3 linked regions of the Tribolium castaneum genome follow. The protein of the gene in region 1 purifies or fractionates together with the protein of each later gene. This does not show direct contact. Links are inferred from orthologs where the notes say so. Each region holds a gene or a part of one and is shown in the gene's direction. Other genes may lie near its edges. The genes, in order: Cul3, kel and inc.

Region 1 (4,175 bases):
CAACATTTTGATAAATATGCAACGATGCGCAAAGAATTATCAATTAGAATTGTCAATTTACATTCCAGCTTATCACTATGAATACGGTTGAAGATGTAAGGAACAAAGGAACAAAATTATTGTGAATTAAATTTTCTACAAAAAAAATGCACGACACCATATTTCTATTTTCAACGGTTTAACGTTTAAATATAAATTAACTTTCCAATACTACCGTAGCTTGTCCGTCTTTGAACCACTTTAGGGTCTAAATGGATAAAGATAGGGATATCTCACCAACGTTTTTGTAAGAATTTTAATTGTCTACAACTTTCTTCCTAACATTTTTCTTGCATCTGTAACCGTATTTGCAGCGTTTTGAAAAATATGGGGAGACTGCAAATTGGTAAAAGTTTGAGATTTTTTAAAATATAGCTTACGATAAAATTCTTGCATTATGTTTACGTCATACTATTAAGAATTTTCTGCTTTATCTGCCTGTTTTTTTTTTGGTTTGTTATGTGTTAACCGTTATACGAATATTCAACTAATTTTTCAAATCCATTGGTCTGAAATCTCAAGTATAACCAAGTATGCTTCCGTACAATTTTTAAGATAAAAATTATTATCATTAATTTTGCAAACACATTATTTATTCAAAAAAAAATAACAATTAAAAACACCAATAACAAACTGAATTTTTTAAAATTCCTGTTGCTCTTTTTTCAACAAATTACACCGATAATTATACCTTAAATAAATAAAAAATCAGTCAGGTATCGAATACTTCAATTCAAATTTTTATTTTTTTTAATGAAAGAAAACAGTCGGTGTTATTAATTAATAATTAATCACTGTATGCTTAAGTGCCATTTTTAAGATAAAAACATAATTATCATTAATTCTGCAAACGCATTATTTATTTAAAAAATTTTAACAATAAAAAAACCAACAACATATTAAATTTTCTGTAATACTTGTTGCATTTTTTTCTCAACAAATTACACCGATAATTATATGTTAAATAAATCAAAAATCAATCAGGTATCGATTACCCCATTTTTTTTATGAAAGAAAACAGTCGGTGCTGTTTACTGATCAATCTCTTTAATGTGCTTTAGTACCATTTTCCAGACGAAAATGTTTATTTATCACTAATTTTGCAAACGCATTATTTATTCAAAAAATTTAAACAATAAAAAAACTAATTGGAAGTGACCCGCAATGACGTTTCTAGTGTGTTTTAGTGACTTTGTTGTTTGTTATGTTGGCGGTATGCGTGGCTCTGAACTGAATAAAAAACGAATCAGCTGAATGCTGAAAAGTCCAAGAAACTTTCTCTTCGTTTTCCTCGACGTTGACAATGGCGATGTGAAGTTTGTGCATCGAAACGTAAAAAATCGCGTTTAATGCGAAAAGACGATCGAAAGTGGAAAAGGGCGAGTTTTTCCGCCAGTTGAATCCGTCTCGTGTGATTGACTTTCGCTAGTGTGATCGCCTTTACCAACATCATCTCGAAAAGTCGGAAAAACAGGAACGGGCATTGTTGTTTAGTGTTGTTGTTAAAGATGAGTGGTTGTTCTTGCGAAAAGTGGGACTCGACGCCGGAAAAAGCCACCTTTTTTGAGCCCAGCTACGAGTGATTTGTGCAATTACCGAATTTGGTGCGTGGTGTTTTTAACGAGTTGCGAAAATGTCAGCGATGAAGAATTCCTCTCTCAGCAAAAAGGAAGGCAAAATGAGGATCCGTGCCTTTCCAGTAAGTGCCCAAAAATTATCCAACGATCAAGTGCATTGTCCTCTAGAAATGTCAAACCGATACGCTTTGCGCGATAATTATCATCAATGACCGTCGAAAATCACACCAAAATAACACCGATCGTCACAAAACCCGCTGATTTGCATAAAAACAAGCCCCTTGAAAATCACACTGGTGCCATGATCACAAACAACCCCAAAACGACGATTTTACCCCCATTATTGCCCCAGTCCCTCACTTGGGACAAGCATCTTTGTTATTTTTCTCCACTTAAACAAAAAAATCAAATTTGAAGCCACAAATTGTCATAAATGTCAGTTTTCTTTCACGACCATTTTTAAAATTTGCCAAATTTATGTGTTGTAAATACCAGACATGAAAAACGGACAGTTTTGCAGCCAGAATGATCCACCCGGAGACATCACTTTTAAATCTGTATTTGGGATGTTGACGAGCGAATCGTTCCTTAATTTGACTTGTTTTGCAGATGACTATGGATGAGAAGTATGTGGAGAGCATATGGGCCCTTTTGAAAAACGCCATTCAAGAAATTCAAAAGAAAAACAATTCAGGATTAAGTTTTGAAGAGTTGTACAGAAATGCGTACACTATGGTTCTCCATAAACATGGGGAGAAATTATACACTGGGCTCAAGGAGGTTGTTACTCATCATTTAGAATCAAAGGTAAGATGTATTCAATTATGAAATAAAAAAACGAATTTTCGTTACTGGGTTAATTGCATTGTTTATTAAATAGTCTCCCTGCAGTGTTTATCTTTGATGACTAATTTAAACACAGCAAATGCCCAAGAGTATTCGATTGCAGGTTATTTTTAACAGACTAAATTCTTTTAAGTGGTTACGGTAACTTCTATTCTCTTAATTAGCAACAATACAATATGGAAGTTACTGTTTGATTTGTAATTTTTTGACTCGTAAATATTTACTGATATTTACTTCCAACTATCGGGTCAGAAATTGTGAAAATAGTTAACACTATTGTTTTAATAATATACTAGGTGTCTCGGAATTGGCGAATTCCGAGTTCAGAACATTGTAGAGAATCACGTCAGTAGTCCGAATATAGAAAAAAAAGATTCGGGGCTTCCCCAGAAGATACAGTGGTGTTTTCTTCAAATGCAGGCTAAAAGTTACAGTGTTTGTTGTTATTTATGTTGTAGATGATGGTGAAGAATAATAACTTAAAACAATTTCTCAAATAATTAGCTTTATTTTTAAGTAAAGATCTTAAATTTTTGTAATTTTTGAGAAAATGAAAGAAATCTTTTTGGGAAAGCCCCGAATCTTTATTTTGTTTTCATATTTGGACTAGTGCATATAATACTTTTTTCATCACATCATGGTGTTCAATTGTTAAATTTCTGATTATCATGGTCTGTGAACTTGAAATTAAGTTGGTAATATTGTGGAATCTAAGCAGAGATAGTTTTATTCATTGATGCAAACTTAATAAACAGAGTACTTCGAAGCCTGCTCTTCTATCTGCCCTAAGGCAATATCTGAATTGTTTTTTGAGGTGAACAAAAAGAATCGTTATTATGATTCTGGAGTTAACTGATATGAAAAGTGTGGAATATTTATAGAAATGTAAGGTAAGGATGCCAGTGAACTTTTTTGATCAACTGTTTTCTTATTTAATTTAACAATACAAAAGTGTTTGTCATAAATACGACTTTCAAAGATGGAAGTACTATTGTTAATAATATTTAAACTTAAACATCGTAATGTTCACCTTGTTATTTTAAACTTTGTTGTTGTGTGAGTATGATTATTGGGTTTATGCACGATGACTACATATTTTTTTTATCAAAATGCCATATAAGATATAAATAAGAAGCAGTAATGTTTTATCTTGCAAAATTTTTATTGATTTAGTGAGGTATATACCTTAAATAACGAAGAGGAAGTTAGAAAATGAGATAAGAGGTAATTTTTTGCACCTTTTGTATCTCTTATTGTTAATAAACCAAATACTTGCATAAAAATCAATAAAAGGTTTATTATTTTGAATAAATTTTTTTTTAATTTCGACCGATGAACGTTTTAAATGTCCGCTTCAATTTCATTCATGAGTCAGTCAAATCAAAACTCTAGTGGGATTTTGTACTCAACAATTATCAGTAACTCTATTGTTATTATTAAATAAAAGAGCTTTTTCTGACGACTTTAGAAAGAAACCGCCAAATTAGACAAATTTAACAGAGAATTTGAAAGAAATGGCAAAAAAAATATAAAACTAACACCAACAGACAGTGAGAATATATTGAAAATTGTTATTTCCAAATGGCAATAAAAGTTTTAGAAAATGAATTTCCAATTTATCGAACTCTGTGGAATTTGGATTATTTTGTGGTAGTATGTAACTATCAGGAGATCATTTGAATTGATAATTAAAGTAGGCGTTTTTTTATGATT
Region 2 (4,207 bases), on another chromosome or scaffold:
CTTTTATTATCCAAATTTTGTTTTTGTATTGATTTTGAATAAGTTTTTATTAACTTAAACTCGAAAAAAAACATTTAGTTAGGGTATTTATGTATCAATAACTTGATATATACTATTATTTTTATTTTTATCAAGCACATTGAAATCATTGGGAACGGCCACGTCTGTAAAAAAGACGCCCCAACTTTTCATATTTTTATTTTTAATTTGTTAAAAAAATGTTCAATTTGTTTTCAGTGGCGCCCCATTTTGGCTGGCGCCCTTAGGCTTATAGCCTAGTTAGCCTAATGGGTAATCCGGCCCTGTCTAAGAACTCTAGTAAAGCACTGATATAATTGTTTTAATAGTGAACATATGGTTAACACTGCTTGTTTTATGATCATATAACATTATGTTCTGTAATTCATAGATCACAACTATCACTTGCAACAAAAAATAATTCGTGAAGTGAAATGTGTGTCAAATCATATTCAGTTTGAAAAAGCAATCGTGCATACAACAGTTTCTTTTCTTTTGATAGTTTTATAAATCCAAAATGTACATCGGCAGAAAAGGATAAAACAAATTTTTCATGTTTCAACGTGTAGTGTCTTTATTTCTACCGATGTATATTTTGTATGTGTTATTATGTAAGTGGTATTTTTTGCGAAAATATAATTAGGCATCTCCTTCTAGTTTTTTCTTTTACCTGAACCGATTTGTATATTGTCAGCAAGGGTATCATCATATGATACCCTGGTGAGCTTGTTACAGGCAAAAGTGCGCCTCCCTGAAAAATATTAAAAACAATATTGACAAATCAATAGAATAATATAATACATACCCTAAAATACACCCCAACATGTCCCTCTTCTATCCGATGCAAGGAATAATTAAAAATGATAAAAAGAGTTGATAACACAGTTCCAATTATTAAATGTTCAGTCAAGTGTGACATTTTTATGCAAATAAAGCAATCGACTGGTTAAATATTAATATGAACACATCATCTAATAACACTTATCGGAAATCTTTAATTTCTACTTGGGACATTTTTGAGGTTATGTAAGTTGAGAAAGAACAACCGGGAAAACTACACTCCACCAAGCACAAACACAATATTGATTCTGAACACATACTTGAGTGAACACTAGAAAATAAATAACAAAAAATCAAATTTTTTCACAAAAAATTGAATTTTTACAAAATGAATCCACATCCACTTTTTGCTTCACTGTCGCAGAATTGGAGTTTCTTACGTTCAAAGTCACGCGTGGTTGGGGCCTATTTTATTTTAAAGAAATAGGCACAAGATAACAAAAAGTTCAAAATTTTTTCCTGATAAATAAATTATTTAACCACGCACTTGCGCATTTGGTGTGATAATCAGCTGTCGCGCAACGCGCATGCGCACTGAAACACCAATTAATCGAAGTGCGTTTTATTTCATAATTTTGCAATAAAACCCCGAATAATTCCTCGAATCGTGCAGCGATGTGTTAAATCACAATTTAGCTCAATTTAGGAAAAAATCTATTCAAGCAATGGACTTAGCGCCCGACCAAGACATTGTTATGGAACGCCAAGGAAGGTAAACAAAGCAATTTCCGCATTACAAATTCCCACAACAATGTGAAATTCCAGTTGTTTATTGCTGCGCTGTGACAGTCAAAACTCCCTCGATGAAAGCTCCCAGAAACAACTGCCGCGGTCTGGGGGCAAAGACAAGCCACCCTATCGCAACTACCACCACACACAGAGGGCCTTTGACGCTATGAATCTCCTGAGAAAGTAAGGGTGATTGGTCAAGTGTCGTCACTTAGGGGGCTGTTTCAGACAAAGACTGCTGTGCGACGTGATTTTGGTCGCAGACACCGTTGAAATACCCGCTCATAAGATGGTCCTAGCCGCTTGCTCTCCCTATTTTTACGCCATGTTTACAAGCTTTGAGGAGAGCAAACAAGACAGGATTGTTTTGCAGGAAGTGGACCATCAAGCTTTGCAAATTTTGGTCGAATATGTTTACACCAGCGAAGTACAAGTCACTGAGGATAACGTACAAGTGTTGCTACCAGCCGCGAATTTGTTACAATTGACTGATGTTAGGGATGCTTGTTGCGAATTTTTACAGGTGCAGTTGCACCCAACTAACTGTTTAGGGATTAGGGCGTTTGCTGATCTACACGGCTGTTTGGAGCTGCTGGCTCATGCCGAATCATACATTGAGCAACATTTTATGTGGGTATGAGGGCAAGGTTTGATAAAATATTCATTTTTGGTTTTAGTGAGGTTGTTGAGTGTGAAGAGTTCCTAACGTTGTCGCATCAGCAAGTTTCTAAGCTAATTTGCAGTGATAGACTTACCGTACCTTCGGAAGAACAGGTGAGTCGGGCGCCTGGAACAAGTGAGGTTACGTAATACTTTTTTTGGATTAATTACACAAATAAGTGATTTATTTTTCACTATCTGAGACAAAGAGTGTCGGAATTACCACACGAGTTGTACTGAAGGGAAAATGCGATTTTAAGGACTTTGCACAAGTTTGTTGGAAAAACTAGACCAGCCAACTTAATTCAAATGTTAACAGGGCAGCCACATATGGCGCATAAAATTCCTTTGTGGGAAATTTCCAAAAATCGCAAGATTTTAATACAATTAAATGCACAATGGTATTAACTACTTTCGGAACAGGTGGCCGAAATTTATAATTTTGCAATTTTTAAACGATTTTCGATTACATGGCGAAATTTTCAGTGACAATGGATGAATGGAAGCACCAGTGTCACGCAAAAAAATTAAAGATATTGAGTTTCTAGTGTACTAAAATAACGAATAAAGTATTAATTACCTTTGGGGTGGTTTTTTTGAATGTTAAAATAGTCTTAGTTTTGCTAGTTTCTTTTAAAAATCGAGAAGAAGCACAAATCGCACATTTTGCAAAATGAAATCAAGGAGGCAGATAACAGGGCTGCCACACATGTTATAAAATTTCTTTCCGTGAATTTTGAAAAATTATTTTTTATTGTAATTATAGGATTAACTGAATTAATTATTTTGGGAACATTGATTTATGATAATTTTGCTGTTTTTAATAAACGATCTGCGCTGTAAATTTGGAAATTTTGAGTGACCATTGGGCCACCAATACCACTATCACGCAAAAAAAGTGATGAATTAATTAATTACGAGTTACTAAATGAGGGATGAAGTAAATTAATTATCTTTGGAGTGACTTCTGAATGATCATCACTCTAAATTCTATCATTTTTCAACAAATATCACCAAGAAAACACAAACTCACAATTTGCAAAATTAAATCGAAGTGGCGAAGAACAGTGCTGCCACACATTATGTACAAAATTGTTTTTTTGAATTTGGAAAAACGAAAAACTGTACTAAAATTACAAATAAAGCATTAATTACTTTGGGGTGGTTTTTCCGAAGGTTAATTGATCTTAGATTTGCTATTTTTCAACAAACAACGTGACGAAAACAGAAATCCACAACTTGCAAAATTAAATCGCAGTGGCGTAGGTCAGTGCTGCCACACATTATGAGCATTAAAGTTCTCTTGTTTGAAATTTCGAGAAATTGCAAGAATAAAAAACTTTGGAATAATATCTCGAATTTTAATTTGTCATAATTTTGCAGTTTTAAACGATTTCGAAGGCCATTTCATTTTTTTCTATAGCAGATGTTAAACTATTTCTTTAGCATTTTTTAAAGGAGATAAAGTAACACTAACCGCAATGGTAGATAAAATGTTTAAAATTTATTTTATTCAACTGTATTCAATTCAAATAAATACTAATTTAAAGGATTAACGAATTAACAATATTTTTTTTTCTTAAACTTGAAGTCCTGCTATAAAATAATGTATTACACATGACGATAAAGATTATTTCAACAATCTCTTTATCATCTTGTATAATAAATAAGAGCTTTTAACGAACTTTCGGCTGTAACTTACTAAAAAACATTATAACCGGTGAAAACGACTGAAAACTTAATTACAGTGTGAATTTGATAGTTGTTCGAATAGTTTATGATAGGAGAGCTCAGAAAAATTAAAGTTCTTTTTTCTAAAGTTTACATGACTCTTAGGCGGTGATTAGTGGAAATAAAATTCGATGGTATCTTTGGAAAACATCAATGTTTTTTTTTTACATTTTTATATTCTTTTTTATGAAAGGAGTTATTTTCTGTGGTTGTTTCTGTTAACTAAGCT
Region 3 (3,284 bases), on another chromosome or scaffold:
GAATGATGCAATGAATGAATGAGAATCACCTTCAATGTCCACCTCATCCTTTAATCTTACAAGTATATGATGTCGAACGATTGGGAAAACACACATTTGAGTGTCTAAATAGTTTAGAACAAATGCCCATGTTTGTTTGTCTTCTCCCCATAGTCCATCATGTATCATATTTCGAACAGATCTTGTTTATTAGGTGTCAGAAGACTCTGATCGCGCTAACGATATTATCGTTTCATTGTAACGTTTTGCGTTAAATTGTATTATAAAAATGTGTAAGCTTTTTAATATCACCAAATAAAAAAACTCAAATTTAATAAGTTATGCTACAAATACAAATAATATTTAAGAAAAAAATAAATACGTTCACATCGTTACTTATGTGTAATAATATCTTTTACACAAACAATGTAAAATAGTAACAATCAGGAGGTAAATGTTTGATATTTTTACAGGCTGCCACTCCGACCGGTAATTTTTTTGGATGTGGCAATTGACTTTCAGTTCAGAAATAAAAAAGGCATTTTGGAATGTTTAAAAATAACGGATTTTGTAAAGCTTTTCTGGGTGATTTGAGTGTAATTATTATGTTTGATTTTGGATGATGTTCAACAGTTTTCCCATGTGACCATTTTCTGGTGATCTATATGATTTTCGAGTATTTTTAAAAGCATAAAAAATTATTATTTTTGGGAAAAACGTATAAATTTTTGCTTTTTGCCTTTTTGCCTCTTTGCTTTTGCATTATTTTGGGAGATTTCAACAGTTTTTTCGTGTGCCCAATTTTTGGTGGTCTGCAGATATTTGGTATTTTTGGGGTGCATAAAAGTTAATTCTTGGGGTTTTAGGGCTTCTTCCGTTGTTGACTGTTAGGAAAAACGGCTAAATTTTTAGGGTCCTGCCTTGTTTTTTGAAGACGCCAAATGTCGTGATCAAGAAATGAAGAGGCGTTTTCTAAGATATTTTCCAAGATTTTTAGATGTTTACTTTTGGGAAAACTCTAAATTTGTTTCATTCTACCCTGTTTTTCGTGGTCTACTGATGTTTGGGTAGTTTTGGAGTGAAGGAAGATTAATGCTTCTTAAGAGATTTTAGGCCTTTTAAGCTAAATTTGTAATATTCTGCCTTGTTTTTTTAGAAGAAAAATGTCCTGGTCAAGATGTAACATTTTATACTCTACTAATTTGTCTCAATGGGGGCTTGTTAGTTCCGATTTGGTGTTTTCGTTTCCGTCGCGTTGGTAGGTAAAGTAAACATGGCGGAGGATGGTGTGAATTCAGTGGACAATAAACAAACATTTTTTAAAAACGGAAATAAGCAATGGGTGAAACTGAACGTAGGCGGGACGTATTTTTTAACGACTAAGACGACGTTAGCCCGCGATCCAAATTCGTTTTTATTCAGACTAGTCCAAGAAGATAGCGATCTAATTTCAGATAAGGTGAGTGTCTTAATCAGTCCCCTGGCTCTAAACTTGTGGCTTCAGGACGACACCGGCGCTTACCTAATAGACCGCGACCCCAACTACTTCTCCCCCGTTTTAAATTACCTCCGCCACGGCAAACTAGTGATAAACAAAGGTCTCGCCGAGGAGGGCATCCTAGAAGAGGCCGAATTCTACAACGTCGCAGAACTGATCACTTTAGTCAAAGAACGGATATGCCACCGCGACAATCGACCGAGCAAAGACAGCAAAAAGCACGTCTACCGAGTGCTGCAGTGCCATGAGGACGAGCTCACTCAGGTGCCCACTGCCGCCTAACCTACAAACGTCACACTTTGTGTTTTCCAGATGGTTTCCACGATGTCCGACGGCTGGAAGTTCGAGCAACTAGTGAACATCGGCTCGCAGTACAATTACGGGGCTGACGAGCACGCCGAGTTTTTGTGCGTCGTGAGCCGCGAGTATGGGGCTCGCGAAGGCATCGAGGTGGAGCACAGCGACAAAGCGAAAGTGTTGCAACAGAAAGGCTCCCGAATGTAATTAGTTTTAAATACACGGACTGAAACAATATCGGGGGGCGCAGCCCCCAGACATTTCTAGGATTTTTTCGTGTCAATGCTGCCGCTACTCAAGATTTTTGCTTTTTATTCATTTATTGAGGTTAGGACGCCATTTTCGTGGTAACTTGATTGATTTACAAAAATACTCGAGCCATTTGACATTAAATGTCGCTCGTCTTTAAGGCAGGGTCTAACTCGAGTCGAATTGTGTGGTATACGTCCGCCAGACTTTCCTTTTGGCGTATTTTAGGTCAGGTGCCTTCAAAAACCAGTTTTTCCAAGAGGCGAACTTTACGAAACGCGGCAAGAAATTGGAGGTTTAATTATAGTATATTTTGTGTAGTTTTTTCCATTTAAAAGTGTGTCGTATTTACGTAAACGCACAAAATGTACTGTAACCATTTGTTTTTATCTTGCTTCAAATCATGACAAAAACTAAATCACTAAACGTTTTCAAGCAATACACTTTACTTTTGGGTGTTTAACACACTAACTCAAAAACTCCCTTAGTTGGCGGTACTGTTTCTGTATAAATCAAATCGTTATTCCTTTCTTTAAGAACCTAAGCGTCTGTATGATAGATCCTATTTTATACGGGCTGTCTCTAGAGTAATGTTTTGTATATTAAAGTTTGTTTATATCAATAAAATTGTGCAATCAAATCATTTATTAACAAAAAGCCTAACCTAAGACGTAGCCACTTGTTTCAGTGGATTTTCCAAATAAATGGCCAAAGCATTCGCCTTTTCTTTCAACATCCCGAAACCTACGTTGTTTTTAGCGTACAAACAAAGCAACAAATTGGCAACTTGTGTTATGGCAATTCGTCCATCAGTGCACTCGATTAGGACCATTTGCGGGTGTTCCTCCCTAAAAGCATTGCGACCGTTTTTCTCATACGCACTCCAAATATTGCTAGCGATGGCTGCAGTCACCCGTGCGTCTCTATCACCGTAGCCACTGTACGCCAAAAGGGCCCCCTCTTGGTTCAATAACCTAAAAATCAAATTACAAAAGCGCACCTGGGGGACGCCAAAAAACGTACAAGGTGTTTTCGACGCCGCCGGTGTTCGCCTGACTCAAAACTTGGGTCAAAGCCTTCGGTTTTAACATTTTTAACACAAAAAATAAATCGAAATGTCAAACATGGACGTGTGTTGCCAACCCAAATTTCGTCTAACCGTGACGACGAATAACAATGATTTTCAGGAGTAAAGTAATGCAATCTTGTTCGCTATTTCTCAACAAAGATGTATTTAATTAAACAGTTCTATAAATATAAT

What was found.
Region 2: the proteins of Cul3 (region 1) and kel purify together in Drosophila melanogaster (affinity purification with western blotting; 3 studies listed by BioGRID). This does not show direct contact. The link is inferred for Tribolium castaneum from reciprocal best matches to the Drosophila melanogaster genes Cul3 and kel.
Region 3: the proteins of Cul3 (region 1) and inc purify together in Drosophila melanogaster (affinity purification with western blotting; 4 studies listed by BioGRID, with this or other methods). This does not show direct contact. The link is inferred for Tribolium castaneum from reciprocal best matches to the Drosophila melanogaster genes Cul3 and inc.

The regions. Positions count from the first base shown.
Region 1 is NC_087398.1:13,267,024-13,271,198, forward strand, and holds the start of Cul3 (cullin-3), read left to right. Parts: upstream 1-1,241; 5' UTR 1,242-1,672; coding exon 1,673-1,738; intron 1,739-2,026; exon of another isoform or gene 2,027-2,113; coding exon of another isoform or gene 2,114-2,173; intron 2,174-2,225; coding exon 2,226-2,423; intron 2,424-4,175.
Region 2 is NC_087399.1:9,463,602-9,467,808, forward strand, and holds the start of kel (ring canal kelch homolog), read left to right. Parts: upstream 1-1,369; 5' UTR 1,370-1,523; coding exon 1,524-1,570; intron 1,571-1,623; coding exon 1,624-1,770; intron 1,771-1,815; coding exon 1,816-2,217; intron 2,218-2,264; coding exon 2,265-2,361; intron 2,362-2,367; exon of another isoform or gene 2,368-2,519; intron 2,520-2,566; exon of another isoform or gene 2,567-2,828; intron 2,829-4,207. Other genes in the region: erlin-1, read right to left, coding at 689-769, 824-937. UniProt on the Drosophila melanogaster protein: Component of ring canals that regulates the flow of cytoplasm between cells. May be involved in the regulation of cytoplasm flow from nurse cells to the oocyte during oogenesis. Binds actin.
Region 3 is NC_087399.1:7,251,068-7,254,351, reverse strand, and holds inc (BTB/POZ domain-containing protein KCTD5), read left to right. Parts: upstream 1-1,220; 5' UTR 1,221-1,252; coding exon 1,253-1,438; intron 1,439-1,483; coding exon 1,484-1,741; intron 1,742-1,789; coding exon 1,790-1,981; 3' UTR 1,982-2,663; downstream 2,664-3,284. Other genes in the region: ragulator complex protein LAMTOR2 homolog, read right to left, coding at 2,688-2,997, 3,047-3,114.